Lepisosteus oculatus: one gene and its partner. The protein of the gene in region 1 binds, or shares a complex with, the protein of each later gene. Links are inferred from orthologs where the notes say so. Each region holds a gene or a part of one and is shown in the gene's direction. Other genes may lie near its edges.

Region 1 (17,134 bases):
ACCCCAGGGAGTAGAGCATTGTAGTAGTCAATTCGAGAGAATACAAATATGTTGATCAGCTTTTCAGCCACAGTTAATGATAGCATAGGGTGTAGTCTTGCGATATTTCTAAGGTGAAAAAAATATGTTTTGACAGTATGCTGTACATCTGGGTCGAATGTTAAGCCAGAATCGAATATCACCCCAAGGTTTTTCAATTTTGATTGAAGCTCAAGTACAGAGCCGTCTACAGATAAGGTTTTTGTTTTGTTTGTCAACATTTAAGACCACATGACACACTTAGTAATTTTAAAGATAATTGGCATACCTAATTTACATACAGTATGTCATACCTGTTCACTAAAATAATGGGTCCATTGCAGGGCACTGAAAGACACAGACACTCACACCAATTTTTCCAGAAAGCCAATTAACCTACCAGCATGCCTTTGGACTGTGGGAGGAAACCGGAACCACCTGGTGGAAACCCACGTGAACATGGTGAGAATATACAAACTCCACATAGATTTTGCCCCAGGTCCAGAATTTAACCTACTGTAGGATCCTAGTGCCATAAGGTAGCAATGTTAACCCATGCGCCACCGTGCTGCTCTGTGAGTGTATATTTTTTTCTGTTGAGATGTAGCCTTTGTCTTGTGTCATGATCAGAAACATAGAAATTAGCATTTTAAATTCAAGGGCAACAAAATTAAGTTAAAACATTTAAAAATCTTCTTTCTCCTGACCACATATTTATTGTCATCGTTATATAAATTATTTAGAATGCTCGTCAAAATGTAAGTATTTCCTTATTTCATGGTAATGCAACTATTATTCCTGTAAAACTAATTTATAAGTTAGTTTATAGAGATTAATTCTCAAACAGCAGGTAAGAATTGTAAGAATTCAAGATAACTTAGATACTTGGATTAGGAATTGGTTAATGGACAGGAAACAGTGGGTAAAGATAATGGGTGAATGCTCAAACTGGGGTGATGTAATTAGTGAAGCATCTTCAGGATGCATATTACCACAGCTCTTCATGATTTTTATTGATGATTTAGATTCTGCGACAGTTAGTAAAATGTACATTTGTGCATTTGTATGGATTTGCAAACTGTCTTGACTATTATAAAAGAAATAGGAGGATTTGCAAACACTGCAAAATAATTAAAAAAAAACTCAGATCAATTTCTGGACTGGGAAATCACCTGACAGATGAATTTAAAGAAGACAAGTGCAGGATGTTGCATGCAGGCAGCAAAAACAATAACAGTAAATATAAACAGAGAAACAGTGAAATAAATGAGGCTACTGTTCAGAAAGACTTACAGTAGGTGTTCATATTGACACATCATTTATGTCTTGTAGACAATGCAGGGAAGCAATAAAAAGATAACAATATATTTAAATAAGTTGTTTCAAAGTGCAGAACTTAAATCAATAAATGTAAACATTGTACAATGCGCCTAAAACTTATTTAAGTTGTTTTTAGAAATTTGGTTTGTCTCTTCACAAAGAGGCTTAAAGGAACATCCTACACTGACAGTGTAAAAGAACTAAACCTGTTTAGGCTTGAACACTGAAGTGTACAAGAGGAGCTTGCTTGAGTTTTAAAATCCTCAAAGGCATTAACAAAATCAGTCCAATTGACTTCTTCAGAATCAACAGCAATGTTGCAAAAAGGATTTTATGGGGTCTGGAACAACCAAACCGGTTGTATTTGTGAAGTCATTACAATTTACTTCACAAAATGGCTGGATGAGCATTTTGGTTCAATTAGCCGCTAGCAACTATAGAGCTTCATGTATGCTATCTTATGAATTCATTTAAAGAGTTAAATTTAATTTTTTATTTCTTTAATCACCATGTCCGTGGCAGAAAAATCATTTTTCTCTGAGAGCCACTTGTAAATGAGATGTATCATGCTATTTCCTTCTGATAACGTCGCTAAATGACAAGGTTTTCTTAAGTACTGGGATTTTTAAACCTTTACTGATGTGATTTAGCAGGATTACATGCTATTTTTATGAGCAACACCCTCAGTCTCTTCTCTGAGTGTGTCCTACAGAATTAAAACACCCTCTTGAACAAAGAAATCTGACTATTTTTATGTCAGCAGGCGGCTGCTCATTCCTCTCTCTTAGCCCATTGGCCCCATTCAGGCAGCCACCCCAAAAATATTCAGTGAGGCAGATAAAGAGGCTTTCCACAAGTCTTGTCAGAAATATTTTACTCTATACAATCTGATTAAACCATTCAGCCAGTGCATCTAGATACTTTTTAACAGCTGAAACTTGTGGCTTTGCTCAGCTAGGACCATTTCAAGACTTGCTTCCTTCTTCATGGGCATTATCTTGTAAGCAAGCCTGTTGAATAGTAGGGGACTGTAACTTAAGCAGAGTACCCATCATGTTCCGTAAGCCCACAGTGAAGGACAGAGGATTATCAAGTTATTGACCTTAGGATATCCTGCATCAGGAAGTTAAGCCACAGTAGATGTAACGTCTGCTTCCATTGTTACAGTCTTATCTCATTTGATGACTCTCTTGAATCCAGCACAGTCTCCTAAGCAGCTGTTTTTTGACAAACAGCTGACAATAAAACATTATCATTTTTTCTCGTGACACCATATCTGGAAAATCCACCTTGCTGTAAGTTAAAGATAAATGGTAACAGAATTCATTAATAAAATAAAGAAACAGGAGACCAAAATCAAGTGCAAATGATGAGTCCATTTACAGTAAGTGTATGAAAAATATTGATAAAATAAGGAGGTAAAACCGACAAAAGGTAAGTAGTCAAAGTGACGTTTTATAGGGAAGCAACTAACAAAATGCACAGGCCTAAGACAAACCAAGCTGTGATACTACTGTAGTATCATATAAAATGACAGAGTCCTGATGTTGGTGAAAGATGAGTTGTTTATTTCGCATTCATACGGAAGAGAAGGCGTTGCTCAGCACTTTTTTCATACACAGTGACAGACAAGCTTCCTACTTTTGACATACTGTAGAATGTTTGTTGTTATTGCTTACATTTGCAGAACAGGGCATTCGACTTACCTTTTACTGCATTTAAGACATGAGCTGTATTTTTCCACTGACCTATAGATGCCCCCTGGTGTGCTTCCACTTACCAGGGTTAAAAGCAGTTAGGAAGCTAACTGGTACAGGCAAAGTTACACGGACTAGACCTAAACTAAGACGAAAGTTACTTTACTACACCATGATTGCAGATAAAAAACCAAGACTCTATGTTAAACATGTAACGACACGTAGTTTAGGACCCTGTGCAGATGGTATAATCCAGAAGTGACTGGAAAAGGGCTATGGGGAAAACACGGTGGGGAATGGAAGGGATTGGCGAACGGGGCGGTGCCGACAGTGAATCCAGGTGCAAGGGGGGAACAAAGGAAAACAAAGTCTAAAAAACAGTCCAATGTAGAAAATCCTATGTCCAAAACAGGGAATCCATCCAAGACAAGACAGTTAAAAACAGGGACAGGGACAGGGACATGGAACAAGGAAATTAAAAACGGAGAGACGAGGCCAGGAGCTCCAAGCCCCAGACTCAGCTTGGTCAGGACGCTGTTAGGAAGCCTAAGACTTCAAGCTGTGGATGTAGGGCGACTTGTTGCTAGGCAGGCCTCCAGACATCCATCTTCCAAAGCAGAGCACCAGGTTGAAATAAAAAACAGAACAAGGGGCAGGTGAACTTTATAATGAAACGAACACAAAAGGATTGGAGCGCCCTCTAGAGGAGGGATGACGTTCATGACAAAGCAGAGTGGAGTCTACACAACACAACAAAAAAATGGAGTTGATAAACACAGCAGTGAGAGAAGTTTATGGAATCACAATCGCAACACTCGTATTAACAACATCACAATAAGTCCTGTTTCAGACTACATAATGGAAAATGCACTTAACATATTAAATAGTGTTACACTTGAGGAGTCCCAAAATATAAATGTGTTCTCTTTGGCATCTGCTATAAAATATAATGTAATATCTGTAAATATAATATTCAGATATCTGACCAAGTTTTCACTTCAGAATAATTTTATGTACAGGAAACGTAATTTTAATTCATCCGTCCAATATCAGAAAGTGACTTCTTCTTTGCAAGGTTTAGTGTAACCTGGAACATATCCCAGACATATAGAGTGCAACACATCCTTCATAGTTCATGTCTCTTGACTCCACAGTGTTTTAAGAAGGATGGTTGGTTGGTCATTATTGACTCAATTCTGTCAATAGATAAAAGCAGTTAACTGCCAAAAAAGCATAGGCTAAGGTAGCATCATTGTTAATGGAAATGAAAAACACACACTCCCAGCTATCAGCTTTGGACAGAAATCTCATAATTGTTCTTCAAAAATAAATTTCAAACACAGACATTTTACCAATTAGTTATTAGTGGGTACTACAGTAGTTAATCAATGAAAAGGTGTAAATTAATCATATTTGACTAGATCAAATTAATTTTAATCTAAGAGGCTGGAACTATTATTAATTGTGATAGATATGAATAATTGTGATAGAAAAATTAGGAATTTTATTTTATTAATTTATAAATGTGACTGCTCCTCTCAGGAACTACAGTATTAATCGCGACTTTGAATCCTTATAAATGTCACGTCAGAATGATCACAAACCATGCAAGACTTGCATGCACATATCTTGATTGAAAAGACCAATTAAGAGATATAAAGTTAAGGAAATTTATAACGTGCTCAAAGAACTTATTGGAAGCGTACTTACATTGTCATTTTTCTGTCTTAAATTCCTGAAATTTCTGTAAGTGCTTTTCATCCAGAAGCATTTTGGTGCTTTTCATCCAGAACTTTACATATAGGGGTGGGTCCACTTCACCAGTGAAGTGCAGCGCCCGTCTGGGTAACCCACAGCTGTCAAAAGGCACCAGCATCCCCACCGCACAGCAGAACAGCTAGAGAAGTAAGAAACTGCTTCACCTTTTGAATAAAGGAGGAACTTTTGCAAGGGCAGATTGTTCCAGCCCAGAGTGGAATTCAGCCAGGACAACAAGATTAACCTTACTCTTATGAATGTGGGATCTTTAATGACAGGGTATTTATTGGGAGTCAGGACCTTGATTTAAAATCTCATCTGAAGGAAAGAGAAGATAAATGTGAGATTCAAGAGAATTGTATCAGTGTAGCATTCACTGTTAGTTTCAATCACACTCATTCAAAAGTATTATAATATTGAATTATAATAAGATTGCATGGTGGCATAGTGGTTATAACTGCTGTCTTATAGGACTTGGGTCCAATACTGGCCTAGTGCATATTGTTTACAGCTTTTGCATGTTCTGTCCATGTCAGTGTGGTCTTTTTCTGGGTGTTTCAGTATTCTCTCACCCCTGAAAAATGTAAGCTAGGTTAATTGGTGTCTCTTAATTGTCAATGGATCTAAAGTCTTGTTATGCTATGAATGAGTCATCAGTTTTTGTAACTAATCATTTACAGATACAAACACATATGAATGAAATGTTAAGATATTTTAGAAAAACATTTTGAATCTCATTAGCTATCTCTGCTGATTAATGATTATAAGGTTTATTGGAAACCATTTTTTTTCTAGATCCAAGTGCTTCAAAGTGTTAATGTGACATGTTTGTCTGTGCTATGTGTTGTATTGTACATATCACTTTGTTATTAAACAAGCCTACATTCTTATATCCCTTAGTTTGCATGTTTTAACAGTGAAATTATATCTTTTACAGGTAAAAAAGGTTTTTCATTTATTGTAATGCAAATGTCAGAAATCAAGATTCAGGCTAAGAAGATGTACTGTAAGAAACTTCAAAATAATTACAGCATCTTGCATTCCCTTACAACAATGTTCCATTGTGGTGAGATACAAATGAACTGGTACTGTATACAATACCATACACATATTTAATGAAACTTGAATACTAAGACTAAAACCTATTGGTAAAAAAGTTAAATGTCAGAAAAAACTGCAAAGATATGTCAACGACACAATCTTTGACACAAGTATTCACCCCTTTACTATGGTTTATCAAAAAATTTTGAGAACATCACAGTACATCACATCAATTGGCAATCAAGTCATCAATGACATGACAGATGCAGAGCTCAATTGGAATGAAAAAGAGCAGACAGTGTTCCTCTAGGACCAGCAGTCTACCCCATTCAGTCCATGACTGGCACTGGCACATACAGTAACTGGAAAATGAGTTCAGATGATATGGGGGATGATTTTCAGAACATGCAGCTGGTGCATTCAGGTTCTTGGTATTTCTAATATATTAGTAATGCAGGTTTTACATTAAGCTTAGCGGATCTGAAAAAAAGCCTAGAAACAAACCACCAGTGGAAGCTCAGTTGACTGATTACAACTCAGGACTCTCTGCAACAGCAGTTCTGCGCTGATGTTTCTCTAGACTCACAGGACTGCATTATTCATGTTCTGCACTATTGCCAGCAAAGCACACCTTGCCAAGGAGCATAGCTATCAGAGAAGGGCTAATACCTGATTGTGTACATCAAGTGCTTTCAGAATCGAATACTGTGGCAGTCTTCCTTCTTAAGCATTGTCAGATGGCCAGGCTAGGTGACTGAAAGGAGGAAAAAGCTTTAGAAAACCTTCATGTTAGATGAAAAGAAGAAGAAAATTGTAGTCTAGGTGATATTTTAGAAATGCCCGGTGACAGAGCTCGTACTGGCTTCGAGTTTTGCTTACAGTATATTGGCACTTGTAATGTGAAGTTATTGTAATTCCATAAATAGGTGCAGGAAGTTAAAAAATTAACTGTGCAACATAATTGAAGTGAAAACAATACAGACAAAGGAGAGAAGAGGTTTGATGGACAGGTCACAGCTTGGATCAATTAGATTGACTGGCCCTGATTTTTGCCACTGAGACTCTGAGACCAACACGTTAAAAAAAAAAAAAAAAAAGCAGTCTGGCAATCCATGTTCAGAAGAATGGAGAGATCTGTAAGAACATGAATGCTTTGTGGTATCAGCACCACCTCATCAGTACTGGTCCTTAGTAGTTTCCTGATAGGGCTGTGTTTTTAAACATTGTACTGTAGGTAACATACTGTAATACCATACTGTACTCCCAAAGCAGGTTTTCTGAAGATTTTAGATTCTCTTAACTTCTAACTCTCTGCACTTTGTAAAATTGGGCTATGACCATTACAGCTACAGTAATTGTTTGAATGTATAATTATTCCCTGGTTTGAAGAAACACTGTGAAACTCACTGGAGTTTTGTTTGTTGCGTATACTGTACCTCATTATTCTGTAAACAATTTTAGGCAAAAAATATAAAAAATATTTCTTCTGAAAAAATGTAAAAATAGCGTAGTATTTGTAGTAATATTAGTGAAGGTGGTGGCAGTTTTACTAAAAGAATTGCACTTTGTGTTATATTTGTTTGATGTGCTGAAAACATTTCCTCGTATTTAATAATATAACTCGTAACAATCTCTATACTTAAATATATATAATATTTTATAGGCCTTAAATTGTGTCTTTATTAAATAGTTACTGTATGCAATAAATACATATGCAGTAATTCATCGTTTATGTACTGTATACGGATTTTAATCTGAAAAATGATATTGATGAACACAGTAACTCTTGACTAGTACTGGGAATGAGCCAAAAACAAACACGATCTATCAGATTAAATAGGCAGTCAAGACAGATCTGCTGGTTTTGTTTACTCCAAGTAGCCTGTGTCCTGTGTTAAGATCTCTGGGCTATTGTCACTACTCTGATGTCATCCGAGCCGCAGAAGCCGGGGGAGAGAGTGGAGGAGTGACTGAGCGGTACAGTCCGTGCTGTGCTGTGAAACTGCGAGTACAGGTGTCTGGCTTCTTCATAGCCACTATCAACAAAGTTTGCGTCTCCAAGAGTCTCTTTTGCGAGCGAATAGCAAATATATCAGCTTGGTCTCAGATTTTAACCACAAAAGAATACCGAAGGTGGAATTGCAATTGTGCAGGTATGTTTCAATAAACCTTACTTTATTTTATTTTTTTTAGTAATCTGTAGTATTCGTCTTCCGTTTTCTTTTCATTCATGTGATTTGGTAATGTAATACCCTTTTTGTACAGTACATGTACAGTAGACGAACATGATGGTGAAGTCGTTTAGATAGTAGACGTTTCAGTAAAAAAAAAAAAAGATTTTGTGTTTGTGCTTGTTCCAAAATATAGATACCATATACGTGTTCGTTTATGTTTTATAAACAAATATTTGACAGATTGTATTTCGATGAACGTTCTGACAGACTTTATTTTTGTAACATACAATGAATTAGCACTCTCTTTAATATATATGTTTCAGACTATGATATAAGAACTGTTCTAAATATTGTTTCTTCTTCTTACTCTTACTTTTATTAAGATCCACAAGCAATGGAGAAGCCAGTGGAGATTTTTAAAGAAGACAGTTGCTTCCCTGTCTCGTCCGAGGAGTGCTCCACATGGCTGTCTGGTTATTTTGACATAGATAATGTCACAGATGAGCACGGCTGGGCAAATCAAACCATGTCGCCTATCATTCCCATCATTACTGCTGTTTATTCCGTTGTGTTTGTGGTGGGCTTGGTGGGCAACTGTCTAGTCATGTATGTTATCATCAGGTAAGATTCAAATTTATATTTATAATATTTTTAACATGTTAATAATTATTTCAATCAATATTTAATTATTTGTTTTTACAAATTTTATCAGTTGTTTTTTTCCCCCAACGTTAGTTCTTATATCTCAGAAACCAAAGTTCCTATTTAGACTTCAGTGTTATAACTGTGCCTTTTCATTTTGAATACACGTGAGCCACCCAGCGGTTATTTTTAACAGAAAATAGCTCTGAAAATGAAGACGGAGAACTGCAATAAATGTTCAGTAGCCCTTTTAGCTTTTCTATTTAGCAAAATGTTGAATTTAGATTCTCTGCATTAATTTTCTCCCTCCAAAAGACGCTGTCTTTTTATGCTGCATTGCACTATACGCCTGATATGACCTCATCTGCGGTGAATTTTCATGACATAATATTGGCATGAGGAAAACTGATTTATTTCCATAAATCAAGTAATCTATATAATGGACGTCTCTGAAATAGATTTTCTAAGGACAATATTGTTATTTTATATATTTACTGTTTATTATTAATCAGTTATCATTTAATGTAAGTGGGCTTGGCTATATAATATTAAGACCCGAAGAAGGCTTGATAACCGAAACGTTTTTTTTTTCCTACTTATCAGCGTGGACATAACCTTTGCTATTTCCCAAATAGTGTTATAGTAATAGTGCAACAAAATATTGAACATATAAGACCCTAACAAACGTAATAAATAATATATTAAATAGGATGCTATTAGCAACTTAGAATTGGTGTGAGTTTTATTTCTCATTTGGACATTTTTAATTTGATGATTAAAAGTCTTAGACAGCCCTACTTTAGATGTTAATCATAACCATTTTGCTCTAACCTCCAGTGATGCTTAATTCTTTTCAGGACAACGTACCCTGAGTAAAATCATTACATCTTGCCTCCTCTAATTTCCTAGTCAATCAGTTTTCCATTCAATTTTCCAACTGCTTCATCCAGTTCAAGGTTGCGGGGGAGCCGAAGTCTTTCCCAGCAAGTAATGAGAGCACGGAGGGGTACATCCTGGGCAGGACGCCAGTCATAGAGACACAGATACGCACACACTCACATCTAAGGCCGGTTTTCCCAGAAGTCAGTTGTTTTTGGATTGTGGGAGGAAACGGGAGCACTCAGAGGAAACCCACATGGATATGGGGAGAACATACAAGCTCCATGGAAATACGCCAGGTCCAGAATTGAACCCAGGGCCCCTGGTTGCAGCACTGTGTAGCTGCAATGTTAACCACGGCACCACTGTGCTGCCCTCTAATCAGTATGTGATTAATGCATCACATGTGATTAACGTATGTGTAGTTACTTATTTGGGGAGTGTAATCTTTTGCAACAAATGATCCTAATGTAGTTTGATAATGACAACATTCACCCACGATACATGGTGCTGTCCTCACCTTTTAACCCATTAAATATTACTTAAGCATTATTTTGCATGCCATACCGTGATGAATTTTATGCCCGTTAGTCACAATAAAGTCAGCTTTTTATTGGGTTTATTGGGTCTAGCTACTCTCATGCATTTGTTACCTACTGTCTGTTCATGATTGCTTATCATTTCATTGACAATCAAGTTTTCAAATCTTAAATATCATTCACATGTGCTTTGGCATACTGTATTTCCCACACCCATAGGGATATTTTGAAATTTGGATTTCTCATATCAGTGGCTGGTAGGTTAATTGGCTTTCTGGTAAATTGGCCCTGATGTGAGTATGTGGGTTTTGTAGTCCGTGTGCCCTGCAATGGATTGGCATTCCATTCAGGGTGTACCCTGCGTAGCACCCACTGCTTGCCAGGATAGGCTCCAGCTCTCCCATGACTTTGATGTGGATGAAGATGGTGGGCCCCCTGCTGTTCAGCATTTACACATTTGCACTTGGTCAGGTTATTAAAATCATACATGCCGAATTATCATTTCTATGCTGAAGATACTCAAATGTATGCCCATACTAAACCTGACAATGAAGTAGCTGTTTCTGCACTTTCTAATTGCATCTCTGATATAAAAACCTGGATTACTTAAAATTTCCTTCAATTAAACTGTGATAAGACTGAGGTCATGCTACTCAGCACCTCCCATCACCTACAGTAAAAACGATACAGTAACCCTCTATGGATGGCAATGTGCCTGAATTTCAATCAAAATTTAAGAATGTAGGGGTGTTATTTCGTTATGACTTGATTCATGTACAGCATACTGTAAAAATATAATTATTTTATCTTATAACTACAGCCAGATAATGTCCTATTGTTGTCTTTGTCTGTAGCAGAAAAGCTGATCAACACATTCGTCTTTTGAGAAATCGATTACTGCAACACCCAGCTCACTGGGGTATCGACTGTAAATCCATACTGAACAAATACAGTATGTTCAGAATTTAACAGAATCCTGACCAGGTTGCATGCATGCGACCACATTATGCCCATCTTGCACAGAAGCCTTGCACTGGCTTCTATCAGGTTTTGAGTCGATTTCAAAATCTTCACGTACAAGGGTCTAACTGTACTTGACTTGGCACCTCAGTACCTATCTGACTTATTATCTGCCCCCACGTCACAACCTTAAATGATCTGATTCTGGTGTTCCATACTATATGTCCCACAAGTTTGTTTACATTCTGCTGGTGATAGGGCCTTCTCTTGCTACACCCCAAAGCTCTGGAATTGTACAGTATCCCAAAGGATATCAGAGAGTCACCTATCCTGAGTGCATTTAAATCTGGACTCTTTCTTTTCAGAAAGACTTTTATTTAATTAGTGTCTGTGTCTACACCATTTTCTAATGACCACGTACAGTATCTTCTGCTGCACTTCTAATCCCTTGTGTTTCCTATACGTGCTTATTTTGTAATTTGCTATCCTTATAACTGTTTTCTTTTAACTGTTTTTTTACATCTACCCTAAAGCACTTTGAGATGCTATTTAAAAGGCACTAAATGAAATAATGATTATTATTATATCAATTTACAGCAAAAACTATTTCATATTAGTGTTGATGATTGTAATTTTAATACAGTAGGCCTCTTGATCAGAATAAATATATTTTGAGTACTGATGATATGCAGTATACTGAGACTGGGATGCAGATTGAAGTAGTGTTTTTATGTTCATTCAAACTCATTCTTAAATGTATACTAATCTTTCCATGTGTTATATATAAATATATAAATATAAAAAACAAAGCTAAAGAAAGCCATCTAACAAATTTAGTAGTGTTGCCTCTTGTCTGCAATTTTCCAGGACATCAGAGGGGCATACATTTAGATTTAAGATCAAGTTAGTTCTGAACTGACAAAATAAAGACATTTTTAAATCATTCTGCTTTTAGCATAAGGGAATAGAAAGATCATTTCCCCCTTATCTACAGTGTTTAAGCTCTGTAAGTATCCACACATCATTCATTTGTTAGAAGTCAAAAATAAGATGTCCCGATACAATTTTTACTGTATTAAAAATGAATACTGTTGGTAATAAGGTGATAAATATTCAGCAAACTACCAGGCACATAAACGCCACAAGGATCTATAGCATAGTCTTATTATATCCAGGACCTGATGATCATACAATTAATATTTATACCACAGACATAAAGCACTGTGGAAATTGTGGACATAGATTTTTTTCTGAAGGTAATCATTTCAAAATGGCAGGGCTTTGGACTGCATGGTACAAGAATCATAAAATGATTTATGTAGTTTTTTTCCAGTATGCTCAGTATTAATCCTTTCCACCGCTGTTTAGATCTCCAAGACAACAACAGCAACACATTCACGAATTGTCCTTAATTCAAAACTGTTATCATATAAATGTTTACTCTTAAAGTTTATTTCATTTTTTAAAAACATTCAGTATGCATTGGGGAACAGTCACAGATATGTTTAACATGCTGTAAGAGCTGATCACAATGTGGCCTCTCTATTTAAAGGATAAAATATATCCTGTTGTAATATGTACATACAGTATGTACAAATGTACATAATACGTTGATCCTTTTCTTTAACTGACATGTCTCACCTACAAATGTATTATTTTAATAATTCATATAAATAGATATATACAATACTTTGCATTTGATAAAAATGCAACATTTAGAAAAAATCAATCTACAATCATTTAAATGGAATAAAGTTGTTTTTAGTAAAATATATTTTTAAACAATTATGATTTCTTTATTGTCAAAATATTGTGTATCCAACGTAGAGAAAAAAAATAAAAAATACAGTAAAAGTTGTACAGTATTAGGTACAATTAGTATCAGTATTAGTAAGTGAAATTGTAATTTTGGCTATGTATTAAAGACATTTGTATTTCAGGCAAGAATATTAATGTGTCAATTTCAACTTTTAGTCCTGGATTTTAGTTTGTAAACATGTTTAGTCAAGTTAGAAAAATATAATTTGCTGTGTTTGTTCCTCCTATTCTAGTGAGTATCAGTACTGAGTCAGTACTTGGTCACAGACTCCTTACTCATCAACATCATCAAACTCTTGATATGTTCCTTTGAGATGCTTTCCCAATCCTTAACTGTAGCCACTTTAATGTTGTTGGTAGTTTGTGGGGTTTTCTGGCTTTAGTTTCCTCTTCAGCAAGTAAAATGCATATTCAAAAGGACTCAAATCAGGTGATTGACTTTTCAAAAGTTGCCACTTCTTCCTGATGAACTTCTTGGTTTCAGTGCCAGAATGTTTCAGGTCATTGTCTTGCCGCAGGGTGAGTTACCACTCAATGTGTTTTTGTAGACTTCAGAATTCATTCTGCTGCTGCTATCATCAGTTCCATACTCAATAAAGTGAGCCAATTTTCAGAGACGTCCGTGCATGCCTAAGCCATGCCATTACCTTCATGGTGCTTCACAAATGAGGTGTTGTGCTTTGGGTATTTGCAGTTTCTCTCTTTCTCCACTCATTTGCCTTTCTGTCATTTTGATAAACATTTATCTTCCTCTTGTCTGTCCATGAAACTTTGTTCCAGAACTGTTGTGGTTTATCTTTGTACTTCTTTTCAAATTCTAATCTTGCCTTTCTGTTTTTAGTGCTGATGATTGTATTTTGCAGTACAGTGAACAGTGAATTAAGATACTTTCACCCTTGCACTCTGTACATTTTTCTGCATTCTTTTTGGGTGTTATTTTATGGTCACCATGGAATTTGTGTTTCAGTTTAATGTGAGAGATAACAATAGAATGTCATCTTTTATTGCTGGATATTATTTTGCATACATGTCTTCATGCATATAGAAAATTACACTTATGAATATTTCACTTCACTGCACCAATATTTCTGCTTTAGTAAATTTGTCGTGTATGCTAAATTAACCATTAAAGAAAAGGAACTATGTACACTATATGCTGCAAGTCATATGAGTAGACCAGTAAGTAGCAGGAATCACACACTGATGTGTCATCCTTCAAATGAGACATTAAACCAAGGTCCACACTACTTAGTCTTTATATTCCCCATCACAATTTTTTAAAGTGTAATAATGTTATCTCTGGTGCCATGTCTAAAAGTCCACCATGGACTTGTAGAATCTGGCCTTCGAACTAGATAGAATAAGACAAGGAGGACCTTTAAAGGTAATGAAGGTACTGAAGGTAAAAAAGATAAGAACACCTAAAACTTGGTTATAAAAACATCTTTCAGCAAGACAGTGATCAGTCCTGACTTAAATCCAATTGAGAATCTATGGAAAGACTTGAAAATGGTTGTCCATAAACAATCCCTAAGCAACCTGAGAGTGCCTGAGCAAATTCATGAAGCAAAACGTGAAGCACGCGTAATTTACTGTACCAGCTATGCACAGTTACAAATGCCGAATTATAAAAACTCAGTGGAATGTAGTACTTTGAACAGTAGTACAGTCCCACCTTTTGTCCTCAAACCCATTCCCTTTTATCTTATGTGAGAACAGCATGAATCCACTTTCTTCACTTCATACTATTATACTTTTTTGATTGATCCTTCCATTATCACTCCTTAATACCAGACTAGGTAATAGTGCAGTGAGAGAAGTCATTTTCTCCTAACTGCTCCAATCACCATGACTCTTACCAGTAATAAGCGTCTTTTAGAGGATGCATACAGTAGATGGACATACTGAATTTCCAAATAAACCAGCTTCATAAAAATCTGATTATTTGATCCTTCCAGGTGCTTCACAACTGTCCATTTGGAGAATCCCCGCAAGAGTTTGTGTGTGATTGTTTTGATTGGGTGACTAACATTTTGTTTGAAAGCCTTTCTGAAAGAAAATTTCCTGCAATATGAGAAAAATGATGGGGACAGTAGATTTTTTTAGAGCAAAACAGTCTTATTTGACCAGGAGTACAGTTTTAAAGCACTGTTGGATCCCAGAATGCATGAACATGAGGAAGACTGTAATGTATTATCCTTTGGATATTTCTGTTATTTTAAGGTATTCTGATGTTCAGACATTCTGAGATCTTTTTTCTCTCAATGGTATGGGTACTTTGCATAGGGCATGTGTACTAAAGGGTTTGCCAGGTTTGGTACCAAGAACATGTCAGCAGGTACTTTGTATTCTTTAACCAAGGAATCATGCTACAGTATATCTCCTTTTTACCAGTAATCATTTTTTATATTATTATTATGATTTTAAATTGCATTTGTGTTGTTCAAAACAGTTGATTTTCATTTTTTTGTACTTCATACCCATTCATATACAAAGCCAGCATTACTTATAAAGAACATTCCGATAGGCATATATTCCTGCTTTCCCTGAGCTTTCTTACACATACAGTACTGTAATTCTTTTATTGTACATTCAACAGAGGGCATGTATTGTTGGCAATTCATTGCATAGACATACAATAGCCATACAGCAATAATTCTGTCATTCGGTCTTAGCAATATAATCATGCCAAAGACACGGCAATTGAAATATTTTTTTACCTTCCACTCAGTCTCATTCATTTCATTTGAGTAGGGTTTAAAAACAGAAAAGTATTGAAGTCTTTGTATCATTTAAAAAAAAATACTATCTTGACCTGACCATTTAAAATTATTGTCACATTTCACTAGCAATAACAGCACTCAACAAAAAATATGTTTATTGAATCACCGTGGGCCAACCACCTAGTATCAGAACAACGAAGTTAGGACCCCCTGCAGAGTAAGGAATCAAACAGAGGGTTGTAGCAAAGGTGGTTATGGGGTGGAGGAGGGATTTAAAAAAATGAATGCAAGGAAGAGAAGGTCTTACTTTGGCATTTTTAGCTTTTTGGGAAGTGATATCATAGATGCTTACAGGTTAGGTCACCTCCTTATGTCAGTGCTGCCATTGCTCCTGAAATTCCCAAGAGGCTTGAGCTCATGATATTTTCAAAAACAAAATACTGTACAATCTCATGTATCGATTTTGAAGTAAAATATTCTGAATGTTTATGGTATTTGAATTATTATTATTATTTTGTTTCTTGTTAAAGTCAAGTTGATAGAAGCATTATGATTCATGCATGATTAACATTCTACTAGCTTTTTGTTCAGTAAGAATAAGACATTCACTAGAGCTGGAAGGGAGATGTGGCTACAAAATGTGTTCATACATTAGAAGGGATGGGGGATTTTTTTGAATATCTGGTTTTTAAGTTTAAAGTACACGGGAACCCTCCCCCAACAAAAATGCTGGATTTAATATAGTGGAGCTTGTGTAGGCATTACTGTGTATTTTTTTGCTTGTCTTTAAAGCAAATTCCATACGTTTATGTACTGTATGGATACCTTAACAGCCTTGGAGAAAAACATATTAATTTTAAATTCTTAAGCGGCTGAAAAGGCCACAAACCTTCACAAAACAGGAAAAAAATACAACTACAGGTTTCAGGATATGTGGTGAGAATCTACTGAATTTGGACCTGGATTATCATTTGCATGAAGTTTGTATGTTCTCTGCGCATCCATGTGGGTTTTTCTCCTACAGTGCAAAGGCATATGGGTGAGTTAATTGGCTGGAATTAATTGGTTGGAAATTGGATGGATGGATTATATTTATTGTTTCTATATAGTGTGAATTAATATTGCCCATACTCTTATAAACTCTAATAAAAAGATGGAGTAGATATGATAAATAAACAAATAATAATAATAATAATAATTGCTTACACTTATATAGCGCTTTTCTGGACACTCCACTCAAAGCGCTTTACAGGTAACAGGGACTCCCGTCCACCACCTGGATGATGTGACAGCAGCCATAGTGCACCAGAACGCTCACCACACATCAGCTATCAGTGGGGAGGAGAGCAGAGTAATGAAGCCAATTCATAGATGGGGATTATTAGGAGGCCATGATTGATAAGGACCAATGGGAAATTTGTCCAGGACGCCGGGGTTACACCCCTACTCTTTTCGAGAAATAGGGAGAAATAAGCGAGAAATAATGCTTCATGTAGTTTATTTACACAGTTATACTTCTGTATGTCTATATAAATGTATTTTTTAGAATATATCGAGAATCAAAA
Region 2 (17,243 bases), on another chromosome or scaffold:
CATCTTCTTCCAAATATTTCAATATTTGCAATAATCCTGCTTCTCTTCCTTTCTTCCTCTAATTAAATGGGCATAGAACTGAAAACATGAAGCAGACATTCCCAAGAGATAAATGACTCAACAGAATAAAGACTGCACATCTGTTGCAAACTGTCGCTTATATTAATCAACCATTTCTCCATACTTGGCTCTAAGGGAAAGGCAATTTGAGCAGTAACGACACTTTTTGGCAATTTTTCTACCTTCATCTCATTTACAGTAACCACTGATCATTCAGTATGACCTGCACTTTCTAAGCCGTGCGAGTGAAGACCCTCCTAATATTTTTTACTGTACAGGTGACTGAGAGATGTACTAGAAGTTTTTGAGTCAAATGACGAGGATAAATCATCCAAATCTGTTATTTCCTGCTATGTCACCGCTTCCACGATTGCCCGAAAAGGAAAACATAGCCAGCCCTTTTGAATTTATTCCTGTCGCTGGCCTTCACTTGCTAGAATGGAGAAAGATGCTTTCAGTGGCTCATTCATTCTGTATTGTGATTGCATTTCTCTACATGTGGGCTCTACAATAGAATTAGCAACGCGAGAAAGTAGCAATTAAATTCTGTTTGACCTTCAAGCACAGCATCTGTTAACATTCAAGGAGAGGACGGCGCATTGAGCAAACTTAAGAGTAGGAGGAGGTTGATCCGGGTGCTTTTTCTCACCCAGCATCATTCTGATTCCCAGCAAGCACCAGAGGAACACAAGTATTGCACAACTGAGGACAAGGAACTTCAAATTGTCATCCTTTCACAATACATTTTCCAAGTGCAGGGATTTTCATACCTGGAAAACCAGTTGCCTTAATATGTTCTATGTACAGGTAGATTCTGATGGATAGTGAACACAAGCAAAATGTAAGAACAAAAGGCCAAACACTGCTATAATCTCAATGAAGACCAGTGAATTACAGCCAGTCTTTTCAGCACAACAATAACACAGGAAAAAAGGTAATTCTTCACATTTTTACCACACTGCCAGCCACTAATGTTAAAATAGCTGGTGTATATAAAACATTACATTACATTATCAAGACAGGATTCTTGGCTCTCTTCAACATGACCCCTCAGACCCCATCACCAGCTGGACGTACCCATTTGCAAATGGCTATTTTCATATTCCTCTTCTAAAATGTATCCAAAGACATAAAATGTTACAAAAAGGAAAATGGTGGATGCAATGTTCTAAAACATCTATAATCCTTTGCTTGAAATAATCAAATGATGATGTTATGATGTTATGAGTGAATGATGTTAAGTTGAAATAAGCAGCGCTTTAGGAAAAAGTTTTATGAGAAATGTTTACATAAAAAATGCTTTTTTAAAATGTATATGTCATCATCAACATTTATCCTTAGAAGACTGTAAAATATTGATGTAAATAATTACTAAATTGGTTATATGACGAACTGCTTTAGAATAATCATTTTATAACTGGCAAAATACCAATGGGATCTTAAAAGCTTGCATTAGCCTTTACATTTAAGACTCACAAACATCCTCAGTGGAAGAAATATATCTTTAGGTTACATACAGTATATCATGTTATCAAATAGCTGCATCGACCTTATATTCCTGAAAGACAGCCTGATAATTACAAGGAATAAGTAAAGATGAATATATTTTCCTCAAGCAAGATGCAACATTTTTATTTTCGTTATTGTGTAATATGTTTGAATTCTTGTTCAGACATGCTGGGAATCATAGAAATGGAATCAAATCTTCATAAGCAAAGTAGATCAACACATCCTGCCCAATTTACAGGTGTCTAAAGAGGAGCTACACCAGCAACAAGTCCAGACTCTGGATTGGATGATGCGATGAATTGCAGACAAGTTAAGAGATGAGAAAGTAAAGCTTTTGTTTATGTAATTGTAGATACTTTCATGTGAAGGAACCTCGTCGATGAATGTCAGCGATGGTGAATACGACTTCTCACGATCGTAATCCCTCCTCTTAAGGGCGCTCCGGCTCTTTCACATTTAGCTGATTCTGTGTACCTGCCCCCAGTCCTGCCCCTCCTTATTTAAGCCGGGCGCTCTCGCTACTCCTGCCTCTGCATCGGAAGACGGACGCCCAGAGGCCCGCCTACCACCAAGTTGCCCTATGCCCGCGGCTTGAGGGCGTAGGCCTCCTATTGGCATCCTGACCCAGCTGAGTCCAGGGGCTCCAAGCTCCTGGCCTCGTCATCCCGTTTTTATTTCCCGTCCCTGTGCCGGATCCCTTTCCGGTCTTGTCTTCGTCTCAGATGGACCAACCAGATTTGGACGTTGGACTTCACCCCGGACTTCCCCCTGGACTCCTTGGACTTGTCTGCCATGATCACACACCCCCGAGCACCAGTTCACTGTTGTCATGCTCCCCTTTCTGTCAACCTGCCCTGATCCTCATCGTCTCCTCCCCGTTGTCCTACTCTCTTCCGGATTATACCGTCTGCACAGGGTCCAGCACTATGCATCGTTACAGTACCCTACTGATTATGCTAGTGAGGCACAATTCCTTGATGCAATGTAGACCACTTTATACTGCCAGGTAAACCAACATTTCCTTATTGTGGTCTCACACAGCAATTCAATTGAGCGCTTAACTAAATCTAGAACTTGGAACTAACTTGGTGCTTTTCGCTTTGTTTTTAAATTGTTTCTTTAAACGAACAAGATATTGAAAGGGGTGGCATGGTGATGTGGTAGTTAGCATTGCTGCCTTGCCGTGCTGGGGACCTGGGTTCGATTCCTGGGATGCTCTCTGTGTGGAGTTTGTATGTTCTCCCTGTGTTCACATGGGTTTGCTCAGAGAGCTCAGGTTTTCTCCCGTGGTCCAAAGACATACTACTGCTAGGTTGATTCGCTTGTGGTGTGAGTGTGTTTCTGTGTGTGCCCTGCAATGGACTGCTGTCTTGTCCAGGGTGTAAAATGCCTTGCACCTGTTGCTTGCCAGAATAGGCTCCGGCTCTCCCATGGACTTGATTTGGAAAAAGCAGTTAGATAATGGATGGATAAAAGATATTGTATGAGAGCAAGTTTAAATCTGCAACTTTTGAGCAGCTTGGAATGGCAAGAAAAATGTCCATGTTAAGCATGTTATTAGCCTGGATATTAATTAGATATTAATTCAATTATGCGGCTGAAAGCTCAGCTGAAATGATAACTGGCAGGCATTGGGGTAAGGGGTAACAGGAAGTCCATTGCAAAATCACTCACTAAAGACCCTTTACATTTTTTTAATTGGACCAAATAGGCTGATAATGAGTTCAATGAGGTAATTAAAAGGCCGCGAGGAATTAACTCCGGAAGGCTTGAGGGGCCAGACTCTTGTGAGCTGGAGCTGTTTACCACTGCATCGGACTGGAGAGGAAACTAACAGCCATCAGCTACTGAGCAGAGCAGAGCTTCCTGGTCCCAGTGTCTACTGGTTTAATTCCAGCTGAGCTCTCACTTAACTTTCATCCTTTCTGATTGACAGAACGTTGCAGGTTCTGAATGTTTTTTGTTTCCGAGATTTGGAAATCTTTAAAAGGTGGAGAGTCTTACAACAAAATGAATCAAAGAATTTGACCGATGAAAGAGACGTTAGAGACATTAATGAGGCCACAACTGGAACCAAATTTGACCAGGCAAAAAGCTTGACGGCAGAGCTCTAAAATGTGTTCAAGTAAACAGATTTATTTTCCAGCCCACTACACAGAAGTAGTTGATTCAATGAAACATAACTAAACAAACTACAAAGGTCAGCTTCATTGTATTTCCAAACTGTTTGTCCAGACATTTCTGTAACAAAAGAAATTAACTTTGAATATCCTAGCCATTCTAGCACTAAATATCTTTAAGGTATTCCTAGGTTAAGGTCATTCTTTGCAATGTCTTTCTAGCTGTTATAATCGAGTGCAGTCCACAGGAGTTTGCCAGGAGAGAGACGTGACACTGTATTGTCAAGATTGTGCCTGCTTCCTGCTCATTCTTTAACGGAACAATTTAACAACTTAAGGTTATTGTCCAGTTCCATTTCTTTTCATTTGCAGCTCTGCTTTCCACGTTTTCCTCCATACACTCTTTGTGATCAGGCACTATCTCTTGATACAGGGTATATAATGGCACAACAGAACAGGAGGAAGGGTCTGAATTTGTCCTTACTGACTCTTTGGGTTGAGGATCTGTTCCAGGCCTTTCAGGAAAGATTGCAGTGAATTCACTTGAATGACATGGAAGGACAACTCATCCCAGACACCCACAACTCTCTGTCCAAAGAAGAGCTATGTCTTCTGAGTCCTAATACAAGTTTGTGTTTTAACATGTCCTACTTCGGAAACATCCTGTTTCTTGCATCTTAATAAATATGGTGGTGCCACACCACAAGGTAGATTATGGAACATTGTAACTGGTCTGACAGATGCAGAGACTTACAACTGGTCTGTAGACATTCACAGAGCTGTAGAGATGAGGGTACTCTATGAAATTGTAATCTGACCAATCAAATTAGTAAATAATTTAGGTAACATTAACTGTTAAACGAAAGTTGTTTATCAATTACATCCTTTCAAACTCTACTGAACATTACAATTCAAACTGTCCTTTATAAACAGCTGTAATTTAACAAATAACTTCTGAATAACCCATCTTAAAACTGGGGTGTCCATGCTTTTACCACACTGTGTGCAGCTGTCTGGACTGCAGCCCTGTAAACTCTAAATTAATCACAACTTCATAGGATGAATGAGTGTTTGATGTAGAGCTAACACTGAGAAATAAGTACAGTATATCTCTGTCTTTATTGCGCTTACAGAAAAAGCTGTACTCAGTTTTACCAAAAGCCGATTAACCAAACAGAATGTTTTTGGAAATCGGAGCACCTGGAGGAAATTCATGCGAACCCAGAGAGAACATACAAACTCCACACAGATAGCAGCCCAGGACCGGGATTGAACCCAGGGCCCAACACTAGCCACTGTGTCACCGTACTGCCCTCTGCGTGTTTCATGTTTAAAAAAAAAACAACTAAAAATGAACATTTCAATTTAAAAGTCTGTCTGCAAGGAGCATTTTATAGATTGATATGTAATGAAATCGTGCCCATTGCTGGAAGAGACTGGGGCAATTGATTTAGGGTTTTTTTTTAAATAATGTCATGAATCAGTGGCCTTTCTATTTATTTTACTATGCCTTGATAATACTACTTCGACAATACCTTGTACAGAGAATAGCCTTGTTCAAGGGCAAAACGACAAAGCACACTATACAATAAGCATAACAAGACATCAGGAAGAAGAATAGGAATGTATGGTCGAGGTTGCTAAGAAACTGCTTATTCCTAGATTAAATCACCCTGAAAACAGAAAGATACATTACTTTTTAAAAAAAATCAGCAACAACACAATATTTCAGTCATGTGCTGGCTTTAAATATTTCGACAGGAAGGATCCATTAATAATTACCAGGAACACCTCACCTTTCTTCCCAGCACATCCTGCACCTCACCTGTCTGATTTTTGAACACCATCAGGCCCTGGTGATATTTTAGTTTTAGTCCATTCTAACCCCTGGAGAATGAGCATCACCTATAATAAAACTACCAGATACCGATGAATCTCCTTCTATAACACATGGCATGATGCTGACGTTTTTAATTCTTAAACCCTTTGTGAAGTGTTCCTTTGACATGTTTATTTTTCCTTCATCACACTCCATTGTCAATCCCTTTCATCTCGTGATCTGATTGCTCCCGCGTTCACATTTGTGTTACTGTGAAGGACGGGAGAAGTTCTTCCGTTACTTTTTGCCTCTCTTGCAATATGGATGGATGGATTTGAAGGGATTTAACAAGAAAGTCAATAGAAAAAGGTCTGTGATCAGGAGCCCACTAGAGGAAAAAAATGTCTTTTCATCAGAAAAAATGACAGTCCTTTTCTCTTTTTTAAGTTTTTTGTCCAGATGAGTGTAAATGCATCTTTCATTGGATGTTTCATTCATGAGATTGAAGAACGATGATGTACAGGAAGCCAACATGCAAGGAAGGAGAGTGGCCCTCCAGAATATACAGAAGAAGCAACATTAAAGGACAGACGTACTGTACATAGCAGTTGCAGGTGTGCTTGATTGCTAAAGGAATATGGGTGGAGAAATGCAAAAGGCCACAAAAAGATTGCACTTTAAAACATCTTCCACCTCTGCCTGAGTAATAGTTCTACTGCATCTGACATAAAATACTCAAGAAAAAAATAATTGGGGAAAAAACATTGTTTTATGCATTTTATGAATTTATTTAAACAAAAAAGAATATAATTGCCTCAATAATTCTTGTATGTAAAACTGAAGAGATGAGATTCAAATTGGTTCATTCCTAGAACAACAGAACTATAACATGCTATCTTGGAGAGTTATAATCAATCAATATTTTTGACAAATCAATATACTTTACCAAACAATATGCATTTTTCTTAATACATCAGTGAAGAATCTTATTTCAGATACAGAGTACTGCTCTAGTATCTTATCTAGTGGTGTTTGTTTAGAAAAAAAGAGTCATTTTAAAGCCTGATATTGCTTTTTAAAGAACAACGTTTAATTAACCCCCTTCACATCGTGAAGTATGATTCATATACTCTGCTGGGTCATTCCAAACGATGAGTGGATGTAAAATGTGAAGTATGATTTAAAAAAAATCTTCCTTTACGCGAACACTTAGCCCCCATTATAAAATAAAAAAAAATATTATAAGACTCATGGAACAGCAAGTTGCAGGGTTTGGTATACATTAAATATACCATAAATATATATCATGAATATATTTATATTCTCTTTTATCAGAAAAGTTTGCCTACGTACCTGAAACTTATAAAATGAAATTATTTAATTAACTAGTTATGTTACAGTTTTTGTAAATCCCACAGAAACTGTTCTTTTGACATTGAAATTCTACTTATCTGTACACAGAGAAATGCAGAATTTATAGTCTGGTGGCCTAGACATGCTTATTTACATTACCATTAGAAAGTCCAGGATTAGTGTCAATTAAGGTCTGTGACATTGACATAACATTGCATTACAGCTGCTAGACTGACGACAGTGAGAAATTCTACAGCTTTATGACAAGTGTACACATATACATACAGTATACTGCATTTCTACATAACAGGGATAGAAGTCTATATAGTTCAAAATTAAAAAGAAACTTCATATTGTTCTAAAAAGCTTCCTGTGTTCCACCATACGGTCGCTACTGTAAATACATAGTCATCCTTTTCTGGATACTTATTCCATACATTCAAGGATAGAGACGTTGTGTTCATGGTCAGGTAAATTAATGGAAACCGGTTTGTTGAGAAAATGGTGTTTGGTTTCACTGTGACGCGAGCCTGTAGTTGGTTTTTGGTCCTTGATAAAAAAAAGAGGCACGCTATTTTCTCATATCGTTTGAAACAAACTCTCTCAGGATGGGGCGTGTAAGCTCTCCGTCTTTCCTGTACACGTGGAAATATGTTCTGTGAATAAGATGAGCTCTTCCAGTATTATGTTGAAAATAATTATGCTTTCGTTTTCTGCTTTTAGCGTGCTTTCGAATACAGGAAATGTAACTTTTTACAACTGAGTTGACGACACAGAAAAGACTCGATTCTGTCGGAAGGGAAGACTCAATATTTACAGCTTTTAAGTCCCACTTTTGAAGGTTTTGACATCAGGTTTTAGAAATGATTGGTAAAAAAAGACCATATTAAAAGGTTAATGATTAAACATTTAAGTGTAGTGAAAGTATAAATAATTGCAACAGGTTTAGATTCTCACTATTCTGTATTGGGTGTTTTTTCCCTCTAAGAAGTATAAAGGCATTACCGATTTGTTTTGTTACTGCCTGAACGTCCAAACCTAATGTACTGTATCATTCCTTACTGCATCGAGCATTTCCTCCATGCATTGCTTGACATAACAATAGAAATTCATTTACTCTCCCGTCAATACCAGTTAGACCCCAAACGATTAAAAATAATTAAATCTCCACCCCTATTATAATTAATGGCCAAAGCAGTGTATTTATTTTTCAATCATGTCCGTCGGCGTGCACAAAAGCATTAAATTCTTGCCCTGCCAAGGCTGAGAGGGGGAATGCGTGTGGGAGTGTGTGTGTGTGAGACAGAGAGAGGGGTGTGAGGGGTGTGAGGTGTGTGTGGTTATTCATACAACCAATCACTCTTATTGGTCCAAAAGAAGAATCTATTCTGATGTCCCCCAGTGACACGACAGAGTCTCCGTCTTTATAAAGACGGGGAGCGGGCAATGGGATTTTAAAGAACCAAAGAACTGGGACTCATCATAACTTGACTCCTTAAGATGCACTAGGAGATTAAATTAAAGCAAGAAAAGAAGGAAACTCAGAAACTGCAGATCAAGTGGCAGAGGTGAACCCGTTGGCAGGTGGAAAAGCACTAATTCGTTCACTATTGCTAAGGTAACTATTTCTTTACCAGATCATTTTTTGATTTGATAACGCATTATATTGGCGCAATATACTACATTTATCATTATAATAATAAAATGTAAAAAAAAACAGTATTAGCAGGCAGTTAGGCTGTCCTAATACTCTTCTTGCACTTTAAACGCTTGACTTTTTGTTTCTTCGGCTGCTTTTACTTCTGGTAAATGTGTTATCGGACAACGTCTGGGTTTGGGAATAATCGCCTCATCTTCTTTTGCAGACGTGGTCATGCAAACTATTTCGAGACATTATAGTACAATAACAGTTTGAAGACGAGCCCATTAATATAATGGCTAAGAGCGACTGATGCATTGTTGTAAAAAATAATTTATGAATAAGGGGAAATAGTGGGTATTTAAATGCAAAACTAGCCAGGACGTACCTTTAATTAATACTTAAATAGGCTACTTGTGTTTGTGTATAAACAGTACCTGCGTACGAGCAGCATTTTATATAGAGAAAATCATACTATTCAGGCTGAAGACGCGCGTAGCTTTACCATAGAGAGAAACCCACACTAATTAACACTTAATTGCAGTCGTGATTGTTCTGTAATTGGCTTGATCACCTCTGCATTTGTGAACTGTGATTTGGATAAGACTGTCATCACTACCATTACGCCACCTCTGTAGTTACAGTAAATAAATGTGAATTCTATAATTAGACTGGAACTACAATGTTTTTGCTGACAAGTTCTGTTAGGCTCAGTAGAGAAGATATACATAAGGGAAAACGTTTCGTGTATGTATACTGTTTAAAAGATATAAGAGATTATAGAAACACGGAAGAACATCGAGTAACGATGTAAATGTTCCGTAAAATAAGTCTTATGTCCTGACCCTTACGATCGTATTATTTTATGTTTATAAGACAACGATAATCAGAGCACTTTACACTACGGGAAATGTATATTAGGTGTAATGACATGACGTGCTGGTGTAATAAATGAAAAAAAAACATAAGATTGAAATGAGGCTAGCGCACACTGAAAGAGCAACCCAAGTTCTGCGCAAACAAATTTAAAGAGTAAAAACTGATTAACTGTACAGATAGTGTATCCTGTTTGTATTATCAATGTATTATAAGCCCAATTAAAATGTTACGGTATTTTATATTGTTTACATTCTATGTAATACATATTATACAGCAGAAGAAGAATATACGATGTACACCTACAGTACGCCAGTTTCTTGCCAGTTTCTAAACGTTCGCACCTTGTTAAGCGCAATAATTGTAACGGGCTGGATTAGATGAGGGTACTTACGGTCAGACGTTTTCATACAGTGATTCGATCTGCTAAACGCTGCAATGTTATCAGGAGCGCAAACTGACGCCCCAAATTTACGGTGTGAAGGCAGCGCTGTGAGACGGGGCTCGCGTTGAAGACGTGCTCCGTACAATAAGCACAACTTTCTAAAAAGCAAAAGCCATGTCTATAAACCGAGCTAAATGCGATATTAAATCGTCTAGAGACTGTGAACTGGTCATAAAGCGACAAGGATACCTTTTAGGTACTGTATGCGTTATCTTTGCTTCCTCATAGTGCACTGTGCTAACCGTTCTGTGCTGGGCGATGTCTTTGCTTTTCAGCCATCGGGAGAGATAACGTTAAGAGAATGGAGTGGTCAGTGTTGGCTTTGGTTCTCTGTCTGAGTTTGCCATCCTCAGTCCAAGCAGACTGCTCTTCCCAGTGCTTAACCTGTGCTCAGCAGATCCCCAATGTCAACATCAACATCAACAGTCTGGTAAGACAGCATTAACTGTCCAGTTTACTTCGGGTGGTTGGGCTGCTTTCTGAAAAACGACGTGACAGGGCGTTTTTGTTTCTTTGATATGTTGAATCACTCTCGGAACACCAAACTGAAAAAAAAAACATTCACCAACTCACGGTAAATTATTTATTTTGTGTGCACATGCTTGTTCAGTCAATCATAGGCATGTATTTCCATTCCATTCACAAAATAAAGGTATGCTTTTTAACGCCTTGCGCTCTGTATAGTCAAGCTGAACCACGTGGGACCAGAATGGGTTGTATCAGTCAACATTTATTGGACAATTTCTGTTCACATCAGAGTGTTTTTAAAATATAATCTTTGGTTATGTGTTAAACACACTTCGGTGTTTTAATCCCCTTAGCCAGAAATGAAGATTTAAGAATTTAGGGGTTTTGAAAACAGGACTCTTTTTAGATGGAGACAACATCGATTACACACGTTTCAGCACCATGGAGAGTTACATCGGTTGGTAAGCGGCTAATCGAGAAACCCGGTGAAATGATTTTGTACAAGTGTTACGTTTCTGTTGTTGTTAATTTGATCAAAGATGTTATCATCGTATAAAAACAAGTCACGTAATATAACTTCAAAATATACTGCCATGTGCCCCCCAAATATTGTGAAACAGGAGCGGTGCATAGCTTAACATCAATAACAAAACTGCTCCAAGTACAAATATGTTCGAGAAACTATAACTCTCGTCAATGGCGTTAGCTGGTTGTATCAGTGTGAAGATGAACAGACTCAACAGAAAGACGCGTAGTTTCAGCATTACGTTCAACAAACCGGTAAGTTAAGGACTCGGGGTCGTATCGAGGATCTGTCGTGTTGACCTTATTTTCTACTTTCAGGCTTGCACGTTAGAGTGCGAAGGGGCCCTGGCGTCCACCACAGAATTAGAAAAATGCGAGAAAGCCCTTCAGATGTACTCCGCCGGTTTGACGGAGAACGAGCCGAGCAGAGCGGACAAAGAAGAGAAGGACTACCCCGCCGGCAACTTAGTCAAGCGGTACGGCGGATTCATCAAGAAAGTCGACAAAAACAAAATATTCAGTAGCTCCCCGGCGCGAGAAAACGCACACCTCAAGGGCCTGCTGGCCAAGAAGTACGGGAATTTGCTCCGGAAGTTTGGAGAACGCGACGCGCCCGAGTTGCTGCAGGACAGCCAGGTCGGCGACGGGACGTCGGAGGACGAGGAGGTGGTCTACAATGACGGCGCTGCCGCCCTGAACGAGGTCAAGCGCTACGGGGGCTTTCTGAGGAAATTCGGTCCCAAGAGAAGCCACGACTCCGCCGAAGAAAGCAGCCAAGAAGAACTGCAAAAGAGATATGGAGGGTTCATGCGGCGAATTCGACCTAAGTTGAAGTGGGATAACCAGAAGAGATACGGTGGTTTTCTAAGGCGTCATTTCAAAATCTCTGTTCGGTCAGACGAAGAGCCTAGCTCATATTCCTACGACGGTTTCGACCTATAGATCGTGGGAGCCGTCACTGAAAATGACTTAATGAACTTCTAATGCAGATGCACTGGAATTTTCACTTTCACCCGTAGCTCGTTTTTCATTTTCTTCGCTTGTAAGACCCGACGCCAGGCAGTTGCACTGGGGTGTGCGCAGGGAGCTCTCCTTAGCTTGTCTATCACTTCTGAAGACCGACAAAACAGTGACACTTTCATTGTATCTGTGAAACGAGAAGCGTAGGCCTAATCTGTATGTTGCCAAACATTATTCTATTCTTTGATGCTTGTTTAATAAAAAATAATAAAAAAAATAAATGCAAGTTCTTCCTGTGTCCGAGTTTCAAAGAAAATGTTACCTTTCGAAATACTAAAAGTGTCGAGAATTCAGATGAAGATAAAAGATCCTGTACAGTCTCCCTTGGCTGCACACAAGGTAATGACAGTGCAAGCCATTTTCACAATATCAATCCATCAAGGTTTATGTATCAATGCACGACCAGTACAGCATACAGCTGAGTTGTCGGCACTGAAATGCTTCACTCTGCTTTTACCACACGTGTACCATCGCTCAGAATCGAGTTTAACCACGATTTCCTCTGATTTTATGGCACCTCACTCTGTCTTTATCACAATATACAAGCTGGGGAGCGGGGGACTCTTTTCTGCGCGATAGTTTCGCTATTGCGTCTTCTAGGGTCTCCTCCTCACTGATAGCTGGGCGTACTGGCGCAGTCTGGCTGCCATCGCATCATCCAGGTGGGGCTGCACACTGGTGGTGGTGGAGGGGAGTCCCCATGACCTGTAAAGCGCTATATAAGTGTAAGCTGCTATTAATTATTATTATTATTATTATTATTATTATTATTATTAGAGGTGCAGCTATGAGTGGACGCTGTCACCAGATTTGTCGTTTTAATACAGCAAGCACGGCGCGTTTCTCCCATAGAGACAGGCATTTTTTCTTCTACAAACCATACTACTAAATACTACTGTTTTCAGCTGACTCCCAGGAACAACAGGTATCTGTCCGTATCTACAGTATATCACAATGCAAGGGAAGTCCCTTCAGAGACACAGCATAATGTTCCAATTGTGATCTTTTTCTTAAACCTAACTTTCTATACTGTATTATCAATAATATCAATATAACCCACGTACCACGCCCTGTACCCTAAAATACAACTCCTGCACCCCGAAGTCTGCTTTCACAAGCCAGTACGACAGTTTTAGTACGACTCTCAAATAGTTTAAAGGGGAAGTGAGATTACTGGGAAATGAATGAACTACTTTGACATGCTGAAACATCAGTCATTTTACTGTTCTTCAAGGATGTACAGTACTGTAGCACTCTCGGGTTCACGTGGGTATGTGCCCTCGCCGCTGCCGCCTCAGGTCGGCCCCCTCCATAGGGACTCGAACCCGGGCCTCCGGCTTCTCAACAAGGACCCACCCAATTGAGCTAAAGGGAAATCTCCCTTCAGCCCGCCGGTTGCGGTCCCTGCTATTTATTAACAACCTGCAATGGTGGCCGTATGTGTTACAGTATCTTACAATATCTAATGATCTTGAAATGTGTTGGTATTCTATCTAGCCAGCCCTTTAGTGTACATCTGGCTCCCCCAGCCGCTTCCAATATTTATTACAAGCCCTTATACACTGCAAAAAACCTCGAAGCTTAGAACAACGACTTGCACCTGCTTACAAACTGGAGCACCTGGTCACGAGACACAGCCGGTTAGGTTTGCCGGCGTATGACGTCATTCACCCGAGATCGTCAAGTTCAGCGAGAGTTCCGTAAACTTTAATTATTGTTTAAATTACATCATCGTGAGTATTTAAAAAGCAAACGACCCCCCCCTTAACTGATAGCAAAACCAGCACACGTGTATACCGCATCATGTGCTTTACTGTTTATTTAAAATTCCTTTGTAGATTATTTACAATCTGCCCTTGTTTCGCCGTTTTTTTAAAAGTTGATTCTCTGAAAAAATATGCGTTGGCTCCCTCTTCTGTAAAAACGGTTTAATGCAGCTCCAAATGTGTTGTTAACAAAAACTGAACGCTAGTGATTAGTCATTAGATTTGAAAATATCTGCGTGTAGACATTGTTTGGGACGTATTGCTGTCAGGATATGTTTTTATCCTGTAAATATAACAAACTTAAATATGCGTGCAAAATGTGCTAATATGACAAAGATACTTCAATTGTGTGACGCATTAAATCCGGTGTGTAAGTATTTAATTAATTTGAAATGTTATTAAGTTGCATCTTTGTTTATGAGCTATAAACTCGGACAATTATGACGTCATCTATGATCTATTTAAAATGATCAAATGCCGATGCACTTTCTGCAAAACCCATTTTAATTTCTAACAGGCATGTATACAGCAAAGGAACTGCTGTAATTGAATAAGTCCTTACTGACAGCAGCATTACTATATCATCTAGTGTAGTGATAGTCACTCCTGCACAGAGAAGGGCCCAGTCCAGCACGTTTATACACAATAAACAATCCTCAGTGAGGAAAGACTGGAACCAATGGTAATAAAGACCAATTAAGAGAACAACTGATCCAAATTAAACCATAAAAAGGCCAGAGTGGAATGAAGACCAGGAGACATGGTGGATTCCAGGACTGGCAGTGAATATTGGTGACTTTGAGTGTGAGAGACCTCTAAACCCAACTGCTTCTGCATGTGGGTTACTGTGACCAGTAGGTGGACATTAGGAATCTGGAGTGTTCTGGAGAATTGGTGAGCATACTTGAACTTGAACTTTATTGCCCTATGTAGCTGGTACAAGTACTGGTACAATGGAATTCTTACTTACAGAAAGTCTCTCTATTGTTAAAGCAAGTGTAAAAACACAAAGTGCAGACTGTGCATATAGACAATATACAAACAAACAGTAGACAATGTACAAGTAAACAGTTTGAATGTAAACAATGACTGGAGATGTGCAATAAATAAGAAATCATAATGAGGTAGGTGTGGTCTGAGGGGCATGGCCAGATGTGTTCGCCAATCGCACTGCTTGTGGGTAGACGCTATTGAAGAATCTATGGGTAAGTGTCTGTATGCTCTTATCTCTTGCCTGAGGGCAGTAGGGTGAAGAGCTCATGCCTGGGGTGGTGACTGTCCTCTGTGATGGCCAGAATTCTACCACAGCAGTGGTCCACATAGAGCTGTTTAATCTCGGTGAGACCATCTTCTGGGCCATATTGACCATTCTCTGCAGCGCCTTTCTCTCTCGAAGAGGTGTTGCTGTAGTGGTGAGGATGCTCTCAATGGTGCAGTGGTAGAAGTTCACCAACACGGGTACTGGCATCCCCCAAAGCTTGAGGCACCTCAAGAAATAAAGGCGCTGCTGACCCTTCTTCATGATAGTCAGTGTTCACAGTCCAGGTTAGATCTTTAGAGATGTGAATTCCCAATAACCTAAAGCTGGTGACTGTTTCCACTTCCGTTCCATCAATACTGAATGGGCTGTGAGTGTGTGGCCTGTGTCTCCAAAAGTCCACTATTAGCATACAGTACATGTGCTTCTTTGAGCTGTCCCGAGCGGTTTGGGACTTCTTTGACTTCTGTAAAACTTTGTTGGCACTTCTGGGAACACCAGCTCCATTTTGGAGTGCTTGGGTACATTTAGAATCATTTTGGAGGAGAGTAGCAGATTTTGAAAGATTTGGAATTCTTATGGGCTTAAGAGATCACCTGCATGTGTTTGGGAGAATTGGTGAGTGTATGTGTGCTTCTTTGAGCTTTGAGAATTTCAAACTATTGCCCCGGTACGCTGACCGAGAACACCATACTGTAGGATGGCAGTTTCGGGCCCAGTTCTGGAGGGAGCACTGGATCTGCTATGTTTTTCTAATTAAGCTCTAAATCCCCAGTGCTGATTGATGCCTTTAACTGCTCTGCTTGATTAAACTTTTAGTATAGTTTGTTCTGCACTCAGGCGTGAGCTTCACAAAAAACCTACCCTTCAGCACACAGAACCGTCTCTCTTCAACTTCCTCACCTTTTTTTCTGACCGAACCGCTCTTAAAATTGATTTATCGAAATCGATTTGTGATGAACAGACATAGGTGGGGATGACACAGTATCAAAGAAACCTTCAATCAGCTTTCCCCCCTTTCTCCAGAGATCCAATGGGTTACATTTCAGGCAATGCAGCTGAATGAAGTCAATTCTGGGACTCGGGAAGATAAAGGGTTGATTCCAATTACAAATTCCACTTCACCTTGCAAGAATCCGAAAGAACATTTCGCATATAGGTCCAAAACGGAAAGCTGAAACGAATTTGCCATTAATGAAACCATTGGCTGAAAAAGAGACAGTGGTGTCCCCTGGACCAAGAGTTTGAGCCTCTAGACTAGGAGGTACGGTACTTCAGATGAGGTGTTGAAGCACATTTACTTGTGCTTATTAAAGATCTCATGTCACTGTGTGTAAGAGTAGGAGTGGTAACTCTGGTGTCATGGCTGAACTCCACTTTGGACAAGCACAGTCTGGCGTCCCTAAATTTCCCCACATAATCCAACTGGTAACGTTAATCCAACTGTCATGCTTCATTGTATGAAGGTGGGTGCACTCAGAGTATCAAAGACGTACCATAGGTGTCACAATTGGAATCCCTTAAGGGGGATCAGCCCTTTCGTATTTTAGTTGACTATGCGCACCTGCCTCCTGTTTTGTCTCCTTATTTAATCCGGACGCACTTGGTATTCCAGGCTCTGCATTGGAAGACGGACACTCAGAGGCCCGCCTACCATCAAGTCGCCCTACATCCATAGCTTGAAGGCACAGGCCTCCTAACGGCGTCCTGACCCAGCTGAGTCCGGGGCTCAGAGCACCTGGCCTCGTCGCTCCGTTTTTAATCTCCTTGTACCATGTCCCTGCTTTTTAATCATCTTGTCTCGGATGGATCCCCCGGTTTTGGACTTTGGACTGCACCCCGGATTCCCCCTTTTGGACTGTCTGGACCTTTTTGCCATCGCCACGCCCCCCCTGAGCACCGGATCATTGTCACACCCCCCTGTCTGTCAACCCATCCTGATCCTCTTCGTCTCCTCTCCTCCGGATTATACCGTCTGCATAGGGCCCTGAACTAAGCTTCGCGGGAGGGAGCCTAGACCGGCTCCTGTTACAATAGGTCCCCTCGTGTACATAGATTTGGGAGTCTTTGGAATGAAAAGTGGACAGGACAGGCCTGGCAAATTGACACAGTGGGCAGTGGTCAACATTGCTGCCTTGCAGTGATGGGTCCTGGATTCAATTCCGGGGGTGTTGTCTGGGTGGAGCCTGCATGGCCTTTTGGTGTTTGAATGGGTTTCATCTGGGACCCTGAAGGAGATAAAATGGATGGATGGCATATGGCACAAACATAAGGATATAATATTGTTACCTTTATAGACCAGAAATAATGTATAGGTTGTGTTATTACTATGATAATCTTAAAAATATAATTAGCATTTGTGGAAAGTCATTAGCAAACTTGGTT

Evidence for each region.
Region 2: the proteins of oprk1 (region 1) and pdyn are in contact, whole or in part, in a cryo-EM structure (PDB 8F7W), measured with the Homo sapiens proteins. The link is inferred for Lepisosteus oculatus from reciprocal best matches to the Homo sapiens genes OPRK1 and PDYN. Residues at the interface, in NP_000903.2 of Homo sapiens: Thr111, Gln115, Trp124, Val134, Ile135, Asp138, Tyr139, Met142, Lys200, Glu209, Cys210, Asp216, Tyr219, Lys227, Val230, Phe293, Ile294, Glu297, His304, Ala308, Leu309, Tyr312, Tyr313, Ile316, Tyr320; in NP_001177821.1 of Homo sapiens: Tyr207, Gly208, Gly209, Phe210, Leu211, Arg212, Arg213, Ile214.

What each region holds. Positions count from the first base shown.
Region 1 is NC_090701.1:48,511,308-48,528,441, reverse strand, and holds the start of oprk1 (kappa-type opioid receptor), read left to right. Parts: upstream 1-7,779; 5' UTR 7,780-7,987; intron 7,988-8,391; 5' UTR 8,392-8,402; coding exon 8,403-8,629; intron 8,630-17,134. UniProt on the Homo sapiens protein: G-protein coupled opioid receptor that functions as a receptor for endogenous alpha-neoendorphins and dynorphins, but has low affinity for beta-endorphins.
Region 2 is NC_090711.1:13,058,929-13,076,171, reverse strand, and holds pdyn (proenkephalin-B), read left to right. Parts: upstream 1-8,309; 5' UTR 8,310-8,479; intron 8,480-10,096; 5' UTR 10,097-10,122; coding exon 10,123-10,251; intron 10,252-11,132; coding exon 11,133-11,756; 3' UTR 11,757-12,064; downstream 12,065-17,243.